2 linked regions of the Struthio camelus genome follow. The protein of the gene in region 1 interacts with the protein of each later gene in a biochemical or structural test. Links are inferred from orthologs where the notes say so. Each region holds a gene or a part of one and is shown on either strand. Other genes may lie near its edges. The genes, in order: dual specificity tyrosine-phosphorylation-regulated kinase 1B-like and HNF1A.

Region 1 (11,335 bases):
TTGGGGACATCTGCCTGGTGTTCTGGGGTGAGGGAACGCGGGAATGGGGTTGTGATTCCGTTGGGGACATCTTCATGGCGTTCTGGGGCAAGGGGACCTGGGGATGGGGTTGTGTGCCCCATGGGGACGTCACCATGGGGTCCCAGAGGTGAGGGGATGGGTTGTGATGCCCTTGGAGGCATCTTCATGGTGTCGCAAGGCTGAGGAGACCTGGGGATGGGATTGTGATCTCCTTGGGGACATCTTCATGGTGTCCCAGGGGTGAGGGGACCCAAGGACAGGACTGTGATCGATCCCCTTGGGGACATCCCTGTAACATTTGGGAAGGGGCGACTTGGACCTCCTGAGATTGTCCCTGCAGGTGGCACATTTGTGTCCTCAGAGATGTTTTTGCCCAAGGCTGTCCCCACAGGGGGCAAATCCCTATCCCTGTCTTCACGCTGTCCCGACGGGGGGCAGCTCCACGTCCCCAGGGGTGACCCCCAGGCTCGAGGACCCCGAGGCTGTCCCCGCAAGGGGGGTGACCCTACCTGTCCCGCAGGAGGGACTGGTTTACGCCGTCGAGTTCTCCCATCGCTCCGGCCGCGACCTCATCAACGTGGCCAAGAAACGCACCAACGTCATCCCCGTCATCGAGGACGCCCGGCACCCCCACAAGTACCGCATGCTCATCGGTGAGCCTGGCTGCGGGTGACAGCGTTTTGGGTGTCCTCAGGGTTTTGTGGGGTGTCCTACAGAGTTATTTTGGGGTCTTAGTGTGGCTAGGAGATGATTTTGGAGGTCTTGGGGGCATCTTGGAGGTGCAGGTGATGGGTGTGGGAGCGTCCTATGCCATCTTGGGGAGGTTTCTGGTGTTTTTGTGGGGATCAGGAGGACCTAAGGTGAGTTTGGGGTTATTTTAGGGGTCCTACATAGGTACTTTGGGCCTTAGTGTGTCTAGGGGAGGATTTTGTGGGTCCTGGGGACATCTTAGAGATGCAGGTGGTGGATCTGGAGCTATCTTGGGACACCTGGGAGAGGTTTCTGGGGCTTCCTAAGGGTTGTTTGGGGATTTGGGGGACATAGAAGGGGGCCCAGGATGGGGGTTGGGGGTCTAGGAGAGGTTTTTGTGGGTCTAGGGGTGTCTTGGAAATGTGGGAGGGCATCTGGTGGCATCTCATGCCACCTGGGGGAGCTTTTGGTGGTGTTTTGGAGGTCAAGGAAACCTTAGATGAGTTTGGGATTGTTAGGGAGGTTCTAGAGAGGTGTCTTGGGGTCCCATGGGGTTTAGAAGAGGTTTGGGGGGGGTATTTGGAGCGTCTTGAAGATTTAGAAAGTGGTCTGGGGCCATCTCGGGGTACCTGGGAGAGGTTTGTGTGGGTCCAGTTGGGTGTGTTGGGTTTTGAGGGGCTACAAGAGGGTTTAGGATGAAGATTTGGGGTCTTGAGACAGGTTCGAGGGCATCTTGGTGTCTTGGGAGGTTTCTTGGGAGTGTTTTGTGGGTTAGGGGATGTTTGGGGGACCACAAAGAGGTTTCGGGAGGTCCAGGAGAGGATTTAGGGGGGTTGGGGACATCTCGGGGGGCTGGAGCACAGTGGTGGGAAGTTTTTTGGGGGGGGGGGGGGGTCCCCGGCCCCCTGTCACCTACCTCGTGACACCCAGGCATGGTGGACGTGATCTTTGCGGACGTCGCGCAGCCCGACCAGTCGCGCATCGTGGCCCTCAACGCCCACAACTTCCTGCGCAATGGTGGCCACTTCGTTATCTCCATCAAGGTAACGAGCGGGGCGGGTTGCTGATGGGCCAGTGACAACCAGTAGTGACCCCTGATGGGCCAGTGACAAGCAGAAATGACCAGTTATCAGCCAGTGATAACCACTAATGAGCCAGTGAAAACCAGTGATGACCAGTAATGGACCAGTGACAACCAGTAAGAGGCCAGTAACAGCTAGCAGTGACCAGTAATGGTCAGTGATAGCCAGTAATGGAGCAGTGACAGCTAGTTATGAAGCACCAATGGACCGGTAACAACCAGTAGTGACCAGTATGGGCCAGTGACAACCAGTAACGACCAGTAACGCACTGAGGACAGCAACTAAGGACCAGTAGCAGACTGATGACATCCCATAGCAAACCAGTAACAGGGCAATGACGACCAGTAGTGACCAGTAAGAGCCACTGACAACCAGTAACAGGGCAGCGATGGCCAGTGACAGGCCAGGAATAACTGGTGGCAACCAGTAACAGCCCAGTAATGACCAGTATCAGCCTGGGATGCACCAGTAGTGACTAGTAACACCCTAGAGACAGCCCAGTAGTGACCAGTAACAACTGGAAGCAACCCCAGTAATGACCAGTGACAGCCCAGAGCTTCCGAGTAATGACCGGTAACGCCCTAGAGACAGCCCAGTAACGACCAGTAATGACCCGTAGCAATCGAGGGGCTCCCAGTAACAACCAGTTAAGACCCAGTAAGAACCAGTAATACCAGGGACATCCTGGGAAGGGGGACAGTTCCCCTCCCATCTCAGTTTCTGCCCCAGGACTCCCCATTTTTGCCCCAAAATCTCCATTTCTGCCCTGAGACTCCCAATTTTTGCCCCAGGATCCCCCTTTCTGCCCAAGGACTCCCCATTTTTGGGGCATTTCACCCCAAGACTCCCCCTATTTGTGTTTTTTCCCCCTCCTATGCCCATTCCTGCCCCGAGACTCCCCATTTTTGGGGGATTTCACCCCAAGACTCCCCATATTTGGGTTTTTCCCCCCTCCTATGCCCATTCCTGCCCCGGGACTCCCCATTGTGGGGGATTTCACCCCAAGACTCCCCATTTTGGGTTTTTTTCCCCCTCCTATGCCCATTCCTGCCCCGGGCCTCCCCATTTTTGGGGCGTTTGACCCCGTTCACCCCTTCTTCCGCCCCCCCCAAGGCCAACTGCATCGACTCGACGGCGGCGCCCGAGGCCGTCTTCGCCTCCGAGGTGAAGAAGATGCAGCAGGAGAACATGAAGCCCCAGGAGCAGCTCACGCTGGAGCCCTACGAGCGCGACCACGCCGTGGTGGTGGGCGTCTACAGGTGCCGCCGGGAGCTACTGGGGGGCACTGAGAGAGGGGGCCAGGGGGCTGGAGCAGGGTGACGGGGTGCTGGGGACCTCCAGGAGGGGGACGCGGGTTGGAGTTGGTCACCACGGTGGACCTCGGGGATGTGAACGGGGTGAGGAGATGCAACGGGGACAGCCTGGGGTGTCTTGGGGACGCAGAGGGATGACATCTGGGTGAGGGAACACAACGAGGTGGGACGTAGGGGACATGGGGACAGCCTGGGGTGTCTTGGGGACCCAAAGGGATGACATCTGGGTGAGGGAACACAACGAGGTGGGACGTAGGGGACCTGGGGACACGCTGGGGTGTCTTGGGGACGCGGAGGGATGACATCTGGGTGAGGGGACAGAACGAGGTGGGACGTAGGGGACCTGGGGACACGCTGGGGTGTCTTGGGGACGCGGAGGGATGACATCTGGGTGAGGGAACACAACGAGGTGGGGTGTAGGGGACCTGGGGACACGCTGGGGTGTCTTGGGGACGCGGAGGGATGACATCTGGGTGAGGGGGACAGACGAAGGGGCCACGGGGACATCTGGGGGCCATGGGGGGGGGGCCCAAAGGGGACGATGGGGACAGGAAGGGGGACGCCCCCCCCCCATGGCCAGGAGGGGGTGACACAAGGGGACAGTGGTTGGGGGGGGGGAGGAGGGGACACGCCACCAGCGGTGACACGTTCCCCCTTCTTCGTCCCCAGGCCGGCGCCCAAGCAGAAGTGACACCTCCTTCGTCCCCTTCCTCCTCCTCCTCCCCCTCCCCTCCCGACGGCGCTTCGGACCCTTCGGTTTGGGGCGAATTCTCGCGCGTTTGGGGTTTTTTTTTGTGTGTGTGTGCGCTACGGCGGGTTTTTATTAAAATAAGAGGGGAAAAAAAACAGCCGGGGGGGCTCATGGCTGGGGGGGGGGGCAATAGGGGAGAGTAATTACCCCCTTTTGGGGAGGGGCAGGAGGGGGTTGGGAGTTAATTGCCCCCATGGTGGGGGTAATCGCCCCCAAGTGTAGTTGGGGGAGGTATTACCCCCCTGGGGGGGCAGATTCGGGGCCTGGGATGGGGTTATTTGCCCCCCAGGGGTAGATTGGGGGTTATTACCCCCCTCTGGGGGGGGCAGATTTGCAGTCTGGGGGGGTTAGTTGCCCCCAAGGGGTAGGTTGGGGGGGTTATTGCCCCCCAGGAAGGCAAATTTGGGTCCTGGGGGGGTTAGTTGCCCCCAAGGGGTAGGTTGGGGGGGTTATTGCCCCCCAGGAAGGCAAAATTGGGTCCTGGGGGGGGTTAGTTGCCCCCAAGGGGTAGGTTGGGCGGGTTATTGCCCTGCAGGAAGGCAAATTTGGGTCCTGGGGGGGGGGGGGTTAGTTGCCCCCAAGGGGTAGGTTGGGGGGGGTTATTGCCCTGCAGGAAGGCAAAATTGGGTCCTGGGGGGGGTTAGTTGCCCCCCAGGGGTAGGTTGGGGGGGTTATTGCACCCCAGGAAGGCAAAATTGGGTCCTGGGGAGGGTTAGTTGCCCCCAAGGGGTAGGTTGGGGGGGGTTATTGCCCCCCAGGAAGGCAAATTTGGGTCCTGGGGGGGTTAGTTGCCCCCAAGGGGTAGGTTGGGGGAGGTTATTGCCCCCCAGGAAGGCAAATTTGGGTCCTGGGGGGGTTAGTTGCCCCCAAGGGGTAGGTTGGGGGGGTTATTGCACCCCAGGAAGGCAAAATTGGGTCCTGGGGAGGGTTAGTTGCCCCCAAGGGGTAGGTTGGGGGGGGTTATTGCCCCCCAGGAAGGCAAATTTGGGTCCTGGGGGGGTTAGTTGCCCCCAAGGGGTAGGTTGGGGGGGTTATTGCCCCCCAGGAAGGCAAAATTGGGTCCTGGGGAGGGTTAGTTGCCCCCAAGGGGTAGGTTGGGGGGGGTTATTGCCCCGCAGGAAGGCAAATTTGGGTCCTGGGGGGGGGTTAGTTGCCCCCAAGGGGTAGGTTGGGGGGGTTATTGCTCCCCAGGAAGGCAAATTTGGGTCCTGGGGGGGTTAGTTGCCCCCAAGGGGTAGGTTGGGGGGGTTATTGCCCTGCAGGAAGGCAAATTTGGGTCCTGGGGAGGGTTAGTTGCCCCCAAGGGGTAGGTTGGGGGGGTTATTGCCCCCCAGGAAGGCAAATTTGGGTCCTGGGGAGGGTTAGTTGCCCCCAAGGGGTAGGTTGGGGGGGGTTATTGCCCCCCAGGAAGGCAAATTTGGGTCCTGGGGGGGGGTTAGTTGCCCCCCAGGGGTAGGTTGGGGGGGTTATTGCCCCCCAGGAAGGCAAAATTGGGTCCTGGGGGGGTTAGTTGCCCCCAAGGGGTAGGTTGGGGGGGATTATTGCCCCCCAGGAAGGCAAATTTGGGTCCTGGGGGGGGTTATTTGCCCCCAAGGGGTAGGTTGGGGGGGGGTTATTGCCCCCCAGGAAGGCAAATTTGGGTCCTGGGGAGGGTTAGTTGCCCCCAAGGGGTAGGTTGGGGGGGGTTATTGCCCCCCAGGAAGGCAAATTTGGGTCCTGGGGGGGGGGTTAGTTGCCCCCAAGGGGTAGGTTGGGGGGGTTATTGCTCCCCAGGAAGGCAAATTTGGGTCCTGGGGGGGTTAGTTGCCCCCAAGGGGTAGGTTGGGGGGGTTATTGCCCCGCAGGAAGGCAAATTTGGGTCCTGGGGAGGGTTAGTTGCCCCCAAGGGGTAGGTTGGGGGGGTTATTGCCCCCCAGGAAGGCAAAATTGGGTCCTGGGGAGGGTTAGTTGCCCCCAAGGGGTAGGTTGGGGGGGGTTATTGCCCCCCAGGAAGGCAAATTTGGGTCCTGGGGGGGTTAGTTGCCCCCAAGGGGTAGGTTGGGGGGGTTATTGCCCCCCAGGAAGGCAAAATTGGGTCCTGGGGGGGGGTTAGTTGCCCCCCAGGGGTAGGTTGGGGGGGTTTTTGCCCCCCAGGAAGGCAAATTTGGGTCCTGGGGGGGTTATTTGCCCCCCAGGGGTAGGTTGGGAGTTATTTCCCCCCCTCGAGGGGGCGCATTTGGGTCCGGGGGGGGTGTTACTTGCTCCCGGGGTAGGTTGGGGGGGCTAATTGCCCCGGGGAGAGGCAGATTCCACCCCCTAGGGGCGGGGCTTTTATTGGCCCCGCCCCTTCCCCGCAGCGGCGAGGGGCGTGGCCTCGTTCAGCCCCACCCCGAGGCCGTTGGGGGGGAGCAGCCGTCAGCGCTCCTTCCCGCGCATGCGCATTGCCGCCGGTCGGGCGCTCTGACCGGGCGTCACGTGCCACCCCAGGCGCACGCAGGCTTGAGGAGGGCGGGGCGGACCCCGGCGCGCGCTGGTGACGTCTGCCCGTGCGCGGGAGGGGCGGTGCGCATGCGCGGAGGCCCCCCCCCCCCCCCAACCCATCCCAAACCATCTCCCGCTTTTCCTCCGCGGGCGCCGATTGGGCGGGGCGCGGCGGCAGCAACGGCGGCGTTGATTGGGCGGGGCGGCGGGGGTTGGCGGCGTTGATTGGGCGGGGCGCGGCGGCGGCGGCGGCGCCGATTGGGCGGGGCGGCGCAGGCGCAGAGGAAGCGGCGGCGGTTTGTTGTGGCCGCCATTTTCCGTGGCATTACTGGGAAATCCCCGGGGCGCCGCCGCCGCCGGCCGTTAGCGGCCTCGGCCCGGTCCGGCCCCGGCCCCGCCGCTACCTTCCTCCTCCTCCTCTTCCTCCCCCTCCTCCTCCTCCTCCCCTCGCTGGGGTCAGTCGCTCCGCCTCGCTCCGCGCAGCGCCGCCGCCACAGGTGAGACCCTCCCCGGGGCGGGGCCTGCTCGGGCCCCGGCAACCGCCACCGGCCTCCGGCTACCGGTTCCCCCCTCCCCCCCAACCCCGGCGCCGCGGCCTCGTCCGCCCTTTCCGCGCCCGTCACGGGGCAGCCGGTACCGGTCCGGCTCTAACGGGCTTTTCCCCTCGCCCCGTTACCGGCATCGCTCTCGGGTCCCCCCCCCCCCCCCCCCGGTACTGACACTGGGCCCTGAGGCCCTTCCGGTACCGGTAGGGGTCCCCCAGTGCTCCCAGTACCGGTATGGGTCCCCCTGGGACTGGTTTGGGTGCTGTGGTACTGGTATGACCCTCCCAGTCCCCCCAGTACCAGTATGGGTCCCCCTGGGACTGGTTTGGGTTCTCTGGTTACTGGTATGGCCCTCCCAGTCCCCCCAGTACCGGTATGGGTCCCCCTGGGACTGGTTTGGGTTCTCTGGTTACTGGTATGGCCCTCCCAGTCCCCCCAGTACCAGTATGGGTCTCCCTGGGACTGGTTTGGGTTCTCTGGTTAGTGGTATGACCCTCCCAGTCCCCCCAGTACCGGTATGGATCTCCCTGGTACTGGTTTGGGTTTTCTGGTTACTGGTATGACCCTCCCAGTCCCCCCAGTACCAGTATGGGTCCCCCTGGGACTGGTTTGGGTTCTCTGGTTACTGGTATGGCCCTCCCAGTCCCCCCAGTACCAGTATGGGTCTCCCTGGGACTGGTTTGGGTTCTCTGGTTACTGGTATGGCCCTCCCAGTCCCCCCAGTACCAGTATGGGTCCCCCTGGGACTGGTTTGGGTTCTCTGGTTACTGGTATGGCCCTCCCAGTCCCCCCATTACCAGTATGGGTCTCCCTGGGACTGGTTTGGGTTCTCTGGTTACTGGTATGGCCCTCCCAGTCCCCCCAGTACCAGTATGGGTCCCCCTGGGACTGGTTTGGGTTCTCTGGTTACTGGTATGGCCCTCCCAGTCCCCCCAGTACCAGTATGGGTCCCCCTGGGACTGGTTTGGGTTCTCTGGTTAGTGGTACGGCCCTCCCAGTCCCCCCAGTACCGGTATGGGTCCCCCTGGGACTGGTTTGGGTTCTCTGGTTACTGGTATGGCCCTCCCAGTCCCCCCAGTACCGGTATGGGTCCCCCTGGGACTGGTTTGGGTGCTGTGGTACTGGTATGACCCTCCTATTCCCCCCAGTAGCAGTATGGGTCCCCCTGGGACTGGTTTGGGTTCTCTGGTTACTGGTATGACCCTCCCTGTCCCCCCAGTACAAGTATGGGTCTCCCTGGGACTGGTTTGGGTTCTCTGGTTACTGGTATGGCCCTCCTAATCCCCCCCCCCAGTACCAGTATGGATCTCCCTGGTACTGGTTTGGGTTTTCTGGTTACTGGTATGGCCCTCCCAGTCCCCCCAGTACCAGTATGGGTCCCCCTGGGACTGGTTTGGGTTCTCTGGTTACTGGTATGACCCTCCCAGTCCCCCCCCAGTACCAGTATGGGTCCCCCTGGGACTGGTTTGGGTTCTCTGGTTACTGGTATGGCCCTCCCAGTCCCCCCAGTACCAGTGTGGGACCCCCGGTCCTCCCAGTACTGGTATGGGTCCCCCTGGGACTGGTTTGAGTGCTGTGGTACTGGTATGGCCCTCCCAGTCCCCCCAGTACCAGTATGGGTCCCCCTGGGACTGGTTTGGGTTCTCTGGTTACTGGTATGACCTTCCCAGTCCCCCCAGTACCAGTATGGATCTCCCTGGGACTGGTTTGGGTGCTATGGTACTGGTATGACCCTCCTAATCCCCCCCCAGTACCAGTATGGGTCCCCCTGGTACTGGTTTGGGTGCTGTGGTACTGGTATGGCCCTCCCAGTCCCCCCAGTACCAGTATGGGTCTCCCAGTCCTCCCAGTATCAGTATGGGTCCCCCCCTGGTACTCATACGTGTCCCCCAGTACTGGTATGACCCTCCCAGTCCCCCCAGTAGCAGTATGGCTCCCCCAGTAGTTGTATGGCCTCCCAGTACCATTATGGGTTTCCTGGGTTTCCCAGTTCTCCCAGTACTGGTATGGATGTGCTGGTACTGATTTGGGTCCCCCAGTACCTCTGGTACTGGTGTGACCCTCCCAGTCCCCCAGTACCAGTATGGTTCCTGCTGGTACTGGTATGGGTCCCCCGGTACTGCTATGACGCTCCCAGTCCCACCAGTATGGGTTTCCTAGTTCCCCCAGTACCAGTATGGATCCCCCTGGGACTGGTTTGGGTTCTCTGGTTACTGGTATGATCCTCCTAATCCCCCCAGTACCAGTATGGGTCCCCCTGGGACTGGTTTGGGTGCTGTGGTACTGGTATGGCCCTCCCAGTCCCCCCAGTACCAGTATGGGTCCCCCTGGGACTGATTTGGGTTCTCTGGTTACTGGTGTGACCCTCCCAGTCCTCCAGTACCAGTTTGGGTCCCCCTGGGACTGGTTTGGGTGCTCTGGTTACTGGTATGACCCTCCCAGTCCCCCCCCAGTACCAGTATGTGTCCCCCTGGTACTGGTTTGGGTTCTCTGGTTACTGGTATGGCCCTCCCAGTCCCCCCAGTACCAGTATGGGTCTCCCTGGTACTGGTTTGGGTTCTCTGGTTAGTGGTATGGCCCTCCCAGTCCCCCCAGTACCAGTATGGGTCCCCCTGGGACTGGTTTGGGTTCTCTGGTTACTGGTATGACCCTCCTAATCCCCCCCCAGTACCAGTATGGATCTTCCTGGTACTGGTTTGGGTTCTCTGGTTACTGGTATGGCCCTCCCAGTCCCCCCAGTACCAGTATGGGTCCCCCTGGGACTGGTTTGGGTTCTCTGGTTACTGGTATGGCCCTCCCAGTCCCCCCAGTAGCAGTATGGGTCCCCCTGGGACTGGTTTGGGTTCTCTGGTTACTGGTATGGCCCTCCTAATCCCCCCCCAGTACCAGTATGGATCTTCCTGGTACTGGTTTGGGTTCTCTGGTTACTGGTATGGCCCTCCCAGTCCCCCCAGTACCAGTGTGGGACCCCCGGTCCCCCCAGTACCGGTATGGGTCCCCCTGGGACTGGTTTGAGTGCTGTGGTACTGGTATGACCCTCCCAGTCCCCCCAGTACCAGTATGGGTCCCTCTGGGACTGGTTTGGGTTCTCTGGTTACTGGTATGACCCTCCCTGTCCCCCCAGTACCAGTATGGGTCCCCCTGGGACTGGTTTGGGTTCTCTGGTTACTGGTGTGACCCTCCCAGTCCTCCAGTACCAGTTTGGGTCCTCCTGGGACTGGTTTGGGTTCTCTGGTTACTGGTGTGACCCTCCCAGTCCTCCAGTACCAGTTTGGGTCCTCCTGGGACTGGTTTGGGTTTTCTGGTTACTGGTATGGCCCTCCCAGTTCCCCCCAGTACCAGTATGGGTCTCCCTGGGACTGGTTTGGGTTCTCTGGTTACTGGTATGGCCCTCCCAGTCCCCCCAGTACCAGTATGGGTCCCCCAGTACTTGTATGGTTTCTGAGTACCAGTATGGATCCCTTGGTACCAGTATAGCTCTCCCAGTTCCACCAGTACAGATCCCCCAGTACCAGTATGGGCCCTGTTCCTCCCCCTGCCTCGTCCCAGCATCAGTCCAGTTTCCCCCACCTTGTCCCAGTTCCCCCCCCGCCTCGTCCCAGTACGGGCCCAGTTCCCCCCCACACCTCATCCCAGTATGGGCCCAGTGCGTCCCCCTCCCTCCCCCTGCCTCGTCCCAGTCCCATCCCAGTTCCCCTTTTGCCTCATCCCAGTGCAGGCCCAGTTCCCCCCCGCCTCATCCCAGTTCTAGCCCAGTTCCCCCCCACCTGTCCCAGTCCTGTCCCAGTTCCCTTCCTGGCCTGTCCCAGTCTCAGTCCAGTTCTCCCCCCGCCTTGTCCCAGTCCTGTCCCAGTCCAGTTCCCCCCCCCGCCTTGTCCCAGTCCTGTCCCAGTCCAGTTCCCCCCCCGCCTTGTCCCAGTCCTGTCCCAGTCCAGTTCCCCCCCCGCCTTGTCCCAGTCCTGTCCCAGTCCAGTTCCCCCCCCGCCTTGTCCCAGTCCCGTCCCAGTCCCCCCCCGCCTTGTCCCAGTCCCGTCCCAGTCCCCCCCCGCCTTGTCCCAGTCCCGTCCCAGTCCCCCCCCGCCTTGTCCCAGTCCCAGCCCAGTTCTCCCCCCGGCCTCGTTCCAGTCCCAGCCCAGTTCCCCCCCCCCCAACCTCGTCCCAGTCCTGTCCCAGTCCAGTTTCCCCCCCCCGCCTCGTCCCAGTCCTGTCCCAGTCCAGTTTCCCCCCCCCGCCTCGTCCCAGTTCCCCCCCCGCCTCGTCCCAGTCCCGTCCCAGTTCCCCCCCCGCCTCGTCCCAGTCCCGTCCCAGTTCCCCCCCCGCCTCATCCCAGTCTCGTCCCAGTTCCCTTCCTGGCTTTTCCCAGTCCCGTCCCAGTTCCCCCCCCCGCCTCGTCCCAGTCCCGTCCCAGTTCCCCGCCCCGCCTCGTCCCAGTCCCGTCCCAGTTCCCTTCCTGGCTTGTCCCAGTCCCGTCCC
Region 2 (11,088 bases), on another chromosome or scaffold:
ACGTTACAAAGTCCTTTCAAAGTACTTGCTCTGTCTGGTGCCTTTGATGTAGACTGATGCACTACCTAGACTTACAAAGGTATTTCAGCACAAGCAGCAAACAAAAATAAGTTGTTGGTTTTTTTCCCCCCTACTTGGCAGCGTAACTCCCAGAGCACAGGGAGGCAAGCGTGGTGGCGGAGAATCAGACAAAAGCACTCGCTACAAAAAGCCCTCACCTCTGAAGAGCTTAAATGTCATTAGAGGACGTTTTAGCTAACCATGTCTTGATTCATCAAGCAGGCCGATGGAAAGAACCGCAGCAGCTTCATGCGGAGACTGCACCTTTTGGGAAGGGACATGACAGGTAGAGTTGTCAACCCTGCTTGGGTTTGGGAGGAACACGTAGCATGGAAACGAGCAGAAGGGGACGGCAGAAGTCAGAGATTCAGTTTGGCAGTGCAGCTCAGAGCTGCGCTCGGCTGTTCTGCTTGTAAGATCCTAGTAGGATTCCCCTTGCTAAAAAGAAAGCATGTGCTGACCGGTACGTGTCACACGATTCTCTTCACCACCACCTAGTGGGAAACTCCTTCATTACCCGAGCTCCAGCACTGCCCTCGCTCTCCAGCCTCATCCTCACCCTGGTGACGGAGAGTAAGCGAAGGAGGGACAGATGGATGAATGAGGAGGACAGAGTCCTGCTTCCCATAGAGGAAGAGTGCAGAGATAATATTGGTAATACCTAGAGATTACAGCCTATAATTTGTCCCCCTAAGCTGCAGCCAGTGCAGTCCCTAATGTTTGTTAGGCCTTAGCCCCATTCCCTGGGGAGACTTGCAAAGTGCCCTCTGCGCAGATGAGCATGTGAAACGTTTGTTCTTCTGGATGCAACTCTCCTTACTGCTCTTTGCAGGGTGCCAAGTTGGGAAGGTGCTCTAGCATCTAAATCAAAAGATAGCCTTGCTCTCTTCTTGCCTCTCTTTCGATAGTCCTAAGGTTGGTTATTCTGTTGAGAACGGGAGAAGGCTACCAACTAAAAATGCTTTGCTCCTCTGTAAAGACATATTTACTATTATAATCACGTATTTACAACAAGGACTACTACATGAAAGTGTTAAATGGGTATGTATTAGGAGTAGTCGAATCACATATTCAAGGGAGTCCTTCCCTGCTGCGATACTCGAGGTTCACACAAACAGCTGAAATCCAACCCTATGAAAACAACATACCAATGACAATTATCTGGGATTTTTCACTCTCCTGCATGCCACTTGGGGCCAAGCTCCCAGGGCACAAATAATAATCGGTTTTGGCACTTGTGTAGCTTTCTTTTCCTCAATCACAGAAATAGGGATGAACACAACGATAACAATAATTCTCACATTTCAAGGAGGGGATGATAGTAATGTCTTTCAGGCCAATAAAGCATTTGGCAGTCTCAGCTGGAGGAACCATAAAATGGCAAAGAATTATTAAAGGAACCACTTCTAAATACTTCTTTGGCCAATGGCAGTTTTATCACTGTATTCATGGAACTATACAGGCTCCCTCTGCTAGCAATTTTACTATAAAAATATTTAGTTTTTTTCTTTCTCTGCATGCTCCTTGAGGTCATGGCATTAGGCTTTATCCCAGTCAATCACTGTATTTTTCACTGTGTATACTTGATGGTGGATATAATTTAACAAATTAAAACACTGAAGATAACAATTGTATTGATACAAGAGTCAGGCTCTGGGAACCTCTAATCCACCTGCACTTCTGTTCACGTTACTCTGCTGCGCAACTATTTCACTTGGTTTGGCTTTCCTGTAATAAGCAGAATGCAGACCAATAGGTCTAAAATAAGAATAAAGTTCCTATTATATACCCATTTATACTTTCATGGAGTAGTCCTCATTATTTATTAATCCACAGTTCAACTACCTTATTACATGTTCTTGGGAGAAGGCAATCCATTGGAACAGTTTATCAAGGCAGACTATTATTTATCAATGAAGTAGAATGAAACAGGAAGAGAAGCCGTCCTTGCCTGGAAGCCTATTGGAGAATGCCAGCAACCCCGTTCTGTGATGCAGCTGTCACACAGTGTTACCAGACCGCCTACTACTTGAAGGGAAGAAACTTATAAAAATAAAACAAACAGACAATGTATTAAAGCGTAGGTAGGACAATGCAGATTATTTGAACATGTTTAAAGAATCTTTATTAAGCATGCCATTAAAATAAAAAACCTACAGAGCTCAGAATCCTCAGGTGTGATTATGATTACTAACCGATAGATTTCTCCAATCGGCATCCAGACCATTCTGTTAATATAACATTTTTCTTGAGCTTTCTATTAAGCTTACCAGTTTATTGTTGTAAAGCTGCTCGTGTCTTGTTACTGAAGTATTGTTTGAAGGATCTCGACCACCATATTAGTTATGCTTAATGAAAAATAAGTTTGCAGGAGGAAAAAATAATACAAAACCAGATACTGCAGACAAACATGAGAAAAGGCAGGTATCACTCGGGGCCTTCATACTTCAAAAACTACCTCTCCCTTACAGTTACCAGCATCATGTTATTCCGGGTGACTCGAGAATCAAGATATGCCCCAGTAAATTTTTGCAAGTAAGAAAATCAACAAAGCAAGTACAAAAAACAACAAAATCAACTGATATAGAATGCAAATGGGTATAGCAAAGCCAAATCCTTTTCTTTCAACTATTCCTTCTCAAGGCAAAATCCATGAGGCACAATTTAGATATAGGAATATATTGTTTGGATTATGGTACTCTACAATTTAGCTCTTGCTCTACTACTAGAACTATAATCTAGCTGGTTAAAGCTTTGCAGCTTCCACTCTTGACCTCTGCTATCCTTATTACCTCTCAGCAGGATATTGTGGCAGTTGTAATAATCTGAGAAACCCGAGCTTGCAGTCCTCAGTGTCAATATATAGAAAAGGGGTGCTGGTTAACCCATAGCAACAGTTTCCGTCCTACCTCCCACTTGTTCATTCTGACAGTTTAGCAATTTGTAACATCTGAGAAACACTGAAAAGCTCACTGGTTTCCTTGCACTGAAGAATCTGAATTAGATCCTTGATGGAGTGCTGAATCATTTGCTAGCATATCTGGTTTGGCAGGTTACAGTGAATGTAAAAATGACAGTGTAGACATTTTTAAGGAAAGTTTTTACCTCTTCCTTGGTTGTCCAGGCTCTTGGAGTTTAAAATGGGCAACTCCAATAGATCAAGGGAAAAAGACCTTCAAGGATAGAGTGATGGAGAAATTTACCTCTTCCTCAGTATTTGAAAGGTTTCCACGTTAAACGCAGGATTCCTCATGTGGTATCCAGTTGTAGCATCCTGTAGGTCCTAACAAACAGGCAGATGTTCATTTTTGGTTTTATAGCCTTTGAAGTTCATTGGTTTCAAGAGAGGCTGTTTTAAAAGCTTCAGCAGCTGAAGGCCTCCGGGGCAAGCAGAACCAAGAGGGAAGGGGCTTCTGGTACACGAGGAATCCTTAAAACCACATGATAAATACAGATAATTTCTTGATATATTTTTTTTCCTTCTTTACAGTTTCCCCAACAAATACTGCTGTTCTTTGTCTAAACTTCAGGATTTTTTTCCTGCAAGTGTGCAACAGAAGTATATATTCACAGAAAATAGACTGGACAGTCTATAAATAAAAACAATGTTAGCATTTTCCATCCCCTCTAGTTTAGGTAAACAAAATCACTGTGCACAAAGGCAGAAGTAAGTAACAAGACATGGCAGCATCTTCCCTGCCACATATTGCAGCGAGCTCACAATCTGTTGTCTCTGCATGCAAAATCCTTGAATTACAAGGATGCATCATGCTGAAACCATACATCATGGTTGGGTACTGTCATTACAATTGGTAATTACTGTTACCAGCCAGCACTGTTAGACTGTCTACTGGGGGGAGAGGGGGGGGGCGGGATGAGGAAAATTGTAATCAAAAATAAAATGTACAGAAATTGTATCCAAATATTGCTAGGACAATGCCAAAAAAGCTGAACATTTTTAAATGCTCTTTACTAAACCTGCTATGAACATAGTGAAGTATTTAGAAACTAAAGATCTTATTTTACATTAAATATTTTCACACGGACTCTGAATTGGTACTCCTTTTTAGGCAGACGGAGGGAGTCTGCTGGAGCCCCGTCTGAGCCTTTTCAGCTTCCAGCAGTGAGGGGAGCTGGCACTCGGGGGGCAGACGCCTCTGAAACGAAGGCCAACAGTTAGCAGCAGTCCTGGCTGCGGGGTCAGCCCAGCAGCAGCTTGCTGCGACTGCAGGGAGGAGGGCGCCAACCTGCCAAGGAGCTCAGCCCCTCCGTGCTGAGCCTGGCGAGCACGGCTCCCGCTGCCCGCGAAGGGAAAACCGGCCAAGGTCGCTCTGCAGCAGCGTCTTGGCCAGTGCTCAGTCTGGGGCCATCCTATGGGGATGGCTAAGCTCCTCTTAGCTTGGGCCTGATGGCAGTATATAAAAGTAGACCAGTAGTTGCTCCTAGGAAACCTCTGTTAAAACAACAGTTTTAAACCCTTCTCCCATCGATCACACAAGAAGAAATCATTCACACGAGACCCTTACACACCATCAAGCCCACACTTGCATACTAAGTTATTCCCTAGCCCCTTGAAGTAAACAGATGCATTCATATATTTGCAGATGAGAAAAGACCACCAGTCATCGCGGCCTCCCGACAACTCCAAGCAACGCCAGCCAAGCTGGCTAGGGTGTTTTAGAAAGTCACCCAAAAGGTGGGGGGTAGAACCAGAAAGCACAGCCGGCATCAAGAGGGGATGGAGGTAGATGCTAAACGGGAACCACCAGCCTGTCCAGGGCACTTCTCCAGAGAAGCAGAGCAATCGGAGATAGGGCAGGGACTTTCGGTGTGAACCAACACCCAGGGCTGCTCCTTATCGTGTGCTTGAATCATCAGCTCAACGGGGCAAGTCATGTAATCCCCCAAATTATGTGGGTACGCTCATCAATTAAACAATACATACAGCAAGTTATAAAGGAGGTACCAGTATTTGCATATCAAGGTACTCCAGCAAGCCAAAGCCAGAAGTGAAAAAGTCATTTAACACTCAATGCTGTGCCGTAGAAGTCAGCTGGAGCTCCACAACACGCCGTGAGTCTTGGGAACTTCCCTGTAAACCCAGCAGTTGCACTGGTCGGCCGGGGGGGTGGGCAAAGGCGAGCGAGGCTGCCGACGCAGCCGTCTCCCAGGGCCAACGCCTTGGCAGGGGCTGGTTGAACCTCTCTGCTGCTGGAGCTCTGCGTGGGCTCCACAACCTCCCACCAGCAGCACCTTCTCCTGCACAGGCACCGCCAAACCCACCCCTTGCTTTTGGCTACTCCGCCTCCTTCCTTCTCCAAAACTAATGGGGCCAGAAATGAGCCATGTTTTTTCCCCGTTTTCATTTCCCTACTTTTCTTTCCGTATCTTTTTCTTTTCCATGCTGGCAGACCTTCTACCCCTCCGTTTTCCTCTCCTTCCCTCCCTTTCCCCCTCCCCCTGCTTTCTCTCCCTCTGCACTTTGTGAACTGCTGCTGCCGTGCTGAAGTCCAAAGTTCAGTAACTTGCTAAGCACACAGATAAATATGAACCTTGGAGAATTTACATTGCTCCAATGTAAACAGATAGCCAAGGGTCCCTTTATCAGCACCGGCTCAGGACAGTCGTGGGGGGTCTGAAGTGGCTCAATTTTGTATTTTGTTTTTTTGGGGGGGGGGGGCGTAAAGGCGGGAGGCTGCGCTGTGCCCACTCTGCCGACAGTCAGGCGCGTTACCTCGGGAACATGGTGTAGGGAAGCTGGAGGCAGGATAAGCTGAAATTCAAACCCAAGAGGCACGAGGCTGAAGACCATGGTCTCGAAGCTGAGTCACCTTCAAGTGGAGCTGCTAGGAGCGCTGCTGGAGTCGGGGCTGACCAAGGAGACCTTGATCAAGGCGCTGAGCGAAGCGGAGCCCTACGTCCTCCAGAGCGAGAGCCAGCGCGCCATCCATGCCCTCCAGACAGAGAAAGGGGACTCGTGCCCCGAAATCCCCGCTCTCCCCAACGGCCTGGGGGAGGCCAGGTTATCGGAAGATGAAACCTCTGATGATGGGGAGGAATTTACCCCTCCGATAATGAAGGAGCTGGAGAACCTGAGCCCTGAGGAGGCTGCTCACCAGAAGGCTGTGGTGGAGAGACTATTACAGTAAGGACACGTTTGCTGCTCCTCTTTGCTGCTCTTTCTTGTATTCTCTCCCTCCAAATCTCTTTCCTTTCCCCTTCCTTTCTTCCTACCAGCGTCCCTGGTATTCACAGCTGATCTAACCGCACAGAGACTGTCTTCATCCATGCCAGGACTAGCAGCCCCCCAAATTCTTTGCAGATGCTCAAACTTGTCTTTTGATCACACTTCCAATGCGTAAAGGGAGCTATGGAGCCTGATTGCACATTAGAAGTGCTCGTATCATCAGGAAACGGGCGTCAGAGCACTCCGAGGCCTGGACACCCTGCATCTCTCTGACTAAACGTTAATTTTTATAGGAGTCACAGATTCTGTCATCAAGGGAGAAAAAAATAAAAATAAAAGCAGCCCATAAAAATCTGGTCTCTGTTAACTGGCCTCGCAGTAGTCTTAGAAATTATGGTAGAGAGTTTTAGTTTTTCCTGCTATTTTTAAGGAGGTTAAAATTTTTTTTACTGGCTTTTCCTATAGATGTTATTTGTCAAAGATAAACCAAGAGAGCTTGTTCCTGTCTTTCGTGCATGTGCGAAATTCTCCTGACTTCACTGGGGATTTTTCTTGTAGAAAGAGCAGAAACCAAATATACGCAGAGGTTAGAAAGAACTCGCTATGCTCCTACCCTCCGCCGTCTGCCGTAACTACAGAGCACACATAGGAACAGTTACAGGTTTTACTGCCACAGAAATTTGCCTTTGCATGCAAGCATTAAGTCAAAAGACAGGAAGAATCCCCTAAACCAGCGAGTCTCATGACAGGCCCAGAGAAACATTCACCAGGACTCACGTTTGGGATTCTTACTGGGGTGCAAGCCCTAATAACCACCCTCAGAGGTTTGTCCAGGCGAGGATCAGGTCCTTCAAAGCCATCTAGCCCAACAGCAGCAGAATACTGCCCCTCCGTTTTGGAGGTACTCTGAAACCACAAGCTGTTGGGAGACACGAGATGCAGCACCGTCCTGCATTTCAAATCTTCACTAAAACTAAAATCCAGTTAGAGAATTTGTTGGGCCTTCTGATTAATCCTCTTCACGGTTAAAGGGAATTAACAAAGTGCAACAATAAGAGGCAAACATCAAATCCCACTACAAAAGGCCAGAGCTAGAAAAACAGCATGACAGGCGTTAACATTCGCTGTAAATATTTAAGAGAAGAGCAGCTGGGAGCTGATGTCTATGCAGTTCTCAATGGAAGAAAATTCACAGGATCAGCTCTTACCTGGGAGGGGAAACATTCCCAATAATTCAATCTTCTTTTTGGCCCCAAAAGTCTGCCTCTCTTTTCTTCCCCCCCCCCCCCCCAGCTCTGCTACATCTCCTCTTCCCCGTACTGTTGCTCTCCCATTCTCTTTACCTGTTCCCTTTTTCTCCTCACTTTTGTCTCTGCCACTAGTCCTCCCATTTTGATGTCTTCCTGGCTAATTCTCTCTCACATCCTTCCTCACTCTTTTCCTTCCCCTCATCCTTGTCTCCTTCTCTTCTCCCTGAGTCTGCGTACAGGTCTTGGGGTAGTTTGAGCCCAGTGGCACCGGGCGGGCCCTGGCTAGTTACTAATTATCCAATGGCTTTATTATTTCTCTTTTGTCTTATAAATTTATAGATGAAAAGACCCTGATAAGCTTTTTGATCATTAACTTCTGATGGTTTATCAGGTATCTCTCCAGAAAGGCAGCCATGTAGGTGGAAGAGGAGCACCCGGCTTTGTCCCACTCTGTAATGAATGGGTGCAGCAGGGCTGAAGGGCCGCCTGCCGTAATCTGAGAGCAGACTCACAGACAGAAGGGGCTCCTTCCTGCCACCCTCGCTTCACCATGAATTCCAGTTTCTGATCCTCCCTGCCTTTCCAGGAGCTGGCTACCAGCCTCTCCTGTGCTTCCTACCAGTCTCAGCACAACACTCTTACCTACCTTGCGTGCCTGCAGTATTATTTATGCTTTCCAATCAATGGTCTCCCTTCTAGATGGCCAACTGAGCAGCATTCCCATTTTACAGAAATGGGAACTGAGGTACAGATTCTCTGACTCATCTAAAGACCCCTAGGACAGTGGCGAGAGGATTGGGCAAGAGCCAGGATCTCTTAAGCCTTGTACTGGGTCTTAACTGCAACACTTTGTTCTGAAACCTCAGGGCTTGCTTTCTTCAGTCCTCAATGTCACAGGATACATCAGTTCACTTCTGCTGTTCAGGGCAGTATAAAGGGAACCAGAAGCCACCCAGTTACAAGTGTCCTTATGGGGGGATATAATGGACCAAAACTATTTGAGGTGGAATGGAGAGAGTAGGAAGCCCATATTGACAGTCTTCATATTTCTGGTCAAAGACTTAAAAAAAAATCAACTGTATATCTGGGAAGTATATTCAAAGCATGTCAATACCAGGGTCTGATGGTACATAAACAGTAGCTACCAACTAATACATACTGGGTTTTTTTTGTTTTTTGTAAGAACAAACCTTTCCATTAACAAACACCTAAAGGTAACGTCCTTAAAATAGTGTTACAAATAAGCGTAGATACGGGAGAACAGTCTTTAACAGAAATTACTCCCAGCAGCAGATGAAAGGAAGGAAGGCAAAAAAAAAATGATCTCCAAGCACAACTTCAATGCTTGCAAAGCTGTTTCAGCATCTACACAAGCATTTCAAGTCTTTGAGAAACCAGATGGAGGCACTTTTACCTCTAAGCAGAAGCATTGCTGGGCACTATTAAAAAGTCCTGGACTAATACTGTAGACCACATTTTAGGAGAGGGATTGACTTTGGGCAGCTATTGGTGACACAAGAAAGTCTTTGTGGGTAGCTGCAGCCATTGCTCATATAGTAAAGTAGCATGAGAAGTGTCCATTGCTAGGCTTTCCAGGAGCGGGAAATTAAAAATGACAGCACCAAGAGACCAAATCTGTCCTCACAGGACCACTAAAGAGGGAGCCACAGTTTGGGAACTACTGAGCAACACTGAGCACGCCAGGATGTGGGCAAGGTACACCACCCACGCAGCGGGGTGCACCTGCAGGCATGTCACCTTCTGTCCTTTGCGGACAGGACTGATAAAGGCAGTTCAGAGAAAGGTTTTGCTAGCGATGAATTAACATTGTTTTGTGTGCCTAAATCAGTCTCACTGGTCTTCCCCAGACTTGCAAAATTAAAAATAATATTCTCTCCAGATCACTCCACAAAGAATTGCGTCTATGCTAAAGAATAACCTCACTAGGGAGATGGAGGTGTGTGGAGTAATTCCCAGATATTCCCTGGAGTTCCCTGGAGAGACAGCCTGGGGGGTCTGGACAGGCCATACTACCGGAGGCACAGCAAACAAGAAGAGATATAGCAATAATCCACCTGCAGGGCAAGGGGTGAAATTCCACTAGGAAAGAGAGAACTTGAGATAAGCAACAGATTTCCCCTGGAGGCAGGGATAAAAGCCTGGTTTCCAGAAGGAAGAAAGAAAAACAAAGATGTAATGATACAGGTCTGGTCTTTCCCCCATGTCAGTGGTGTCTTAGAAGAGCTCTAGCTGAGGATCTGGACATGAAGCTGCCACACCCCTTTCATTTCCACATATAAACCAAGATGAGGCAAACCAGGCCAAGTTCAATAGAAAAGAACCCAGCCGGGACGGTCTTACCTTCCCTGCTCTCTGCCCAGCCCGGCTCCGGGCTGTGCACTGGCACCAGTGGGAGTTGTCTGGCGAGCTCCAGAGGAAAGGGCCAGAGGATGGTCCTGAGCACTTCACAGCTCTGAACCTCTGCTTAACCAAGGTCTGGTCCAAAGCAGCACTTCAGAATCTACCTCAGAGAAATGAGGGCTTCTCTTGCCTGGGAACCTGGAAAACAGGGAAGGAGGAAAGGAGAGACAGAGGGAATGAGGAAGAGGAGGGGAAAGAAAGGAACAAAGGAAAAAGAAAGAGAAAGAAAAGTCAGGAAGAGTGAAGGAGGGAGAAGGTCCCCCGAATGTTACATCCTCAGCTCTCTGAAATGGGTTTTCTTTAATGCTAACAACTTGATATTTACTTTCCATTTAAATTTGAGATGTTGCTATAAATTATCAACCAGCCTCTTGTTCCCTTTGAGTTTATAACTAACTACCTGGGTTACTTATTGTTCAGGTAACAAAAGGGAGGTGAAAACGCCCTTAAAAAGTGACCTCAGAACTAAGAAAATGGGAAGCTGGAATGGAGAGAAGACCCAGGCCCCTGTGGTCGAGTGGAGCTGGGGAGAGGGGCTACACTCAGGAGGCAAGCAGCAGCAGAGCGAGACTTAGGAAGAAGGAAGTAAAGACCATTTGAGAAGAACCTGGAGATAGAGATTAGACCTCAGAGAACAAGACAGGAATGGGGAGACAGCTTGTATCTGGGGAGAAAGAAAGGTAAAAGCAGGAAAGGGACTTGGAGATGGAGGAGGAGAGCTTGAGCAAGTCAGACCTAGTTCCACAGTTTGACTCACTGAAGCAATTGAGATTTTAGTGCAATGACAGCCAGGAAGGCTACGCTTGGGGTGAAATCCTACTCTGACAGTCAATGACAGCTTTGTCACCAACTTCAACAGAATGGTTTCATCTTACAGTGGTTTAGTCAACGGTGAAGGCTCTGCAGGTGGATCTGTGGATTTGGGCAATGGTTCATTTGAGGCCTCAACTGACTGACTGCCATCACTGGTTCTGTGACATAGCCTAGGGCCAAAAGGAATTGCTGCATTGGAATTACAGCCTGGGCCTTGACAGTTTACGGGTAGCCAGGATCTGAACTGTCCTATGAAGTCACGCTCACTAAGATGCCCTGCCCTGTTGTACCTCAGAAAACTCTGCTTTGTCTCAAAACAAAAGAAAATCACAGAACCACTGTGAGAAAAGTCATCCT

The links.
Region 2: of the proteins of dual specificity tyrosine-phosphorylation-regulated kinase 1B-like (region 1) and HNF1A, one has a biochemical effect on the other in vitro, tested with the Homo sapiens proteins (2 studies listed by IntAct, with this or other methods). The link is inferred for Struthio camelus from reciprocal best matches to the Homo sapiens genes DYRK1B and HNF1A.

What each region holds. Positions count from the first base shown.
Region 1 is NC_090974.1:149,667-161,001, reverse strand, and holds the start of dual specificity tyrosine-phosphorylation-regulated kinase 1B-like, read left to right. Parts: upstream 1-6,581; 5' UTR 6,582-6,814; intron 6,815-11,335. Other genes in the region: FBL (rRNA 2'-O-methyltransferase fibrillarin), read left to right, coding at 542-674, 1,642-1,754, 2,907-3,052, 3,776-3,797.
Region 2 is NC_090958.1:8,142,751-8,153,838, forward strand, and holds the start of HNF1A (hepatocyte nuclear factor 1-alpha), read left to right. Parts: upstream 1-5,531; 5' UTR 5,532-5,870; coding exon 5,871-6,205; intron 6,206-7,455; exon of another isoform or gene 7,456-7,728; intron 7,729-9,858; exon of another isoform or gene 9,859-10,232; intron 10,233-11,088. UniProt on the Homo sapiens protein: Transcriptional activator that regulates the tissue specific expression of multiple genes, especially in pancreatic islet cells and in liver. Binds to the inverted palindrome 5'-GTTAATNATTAAC-3'.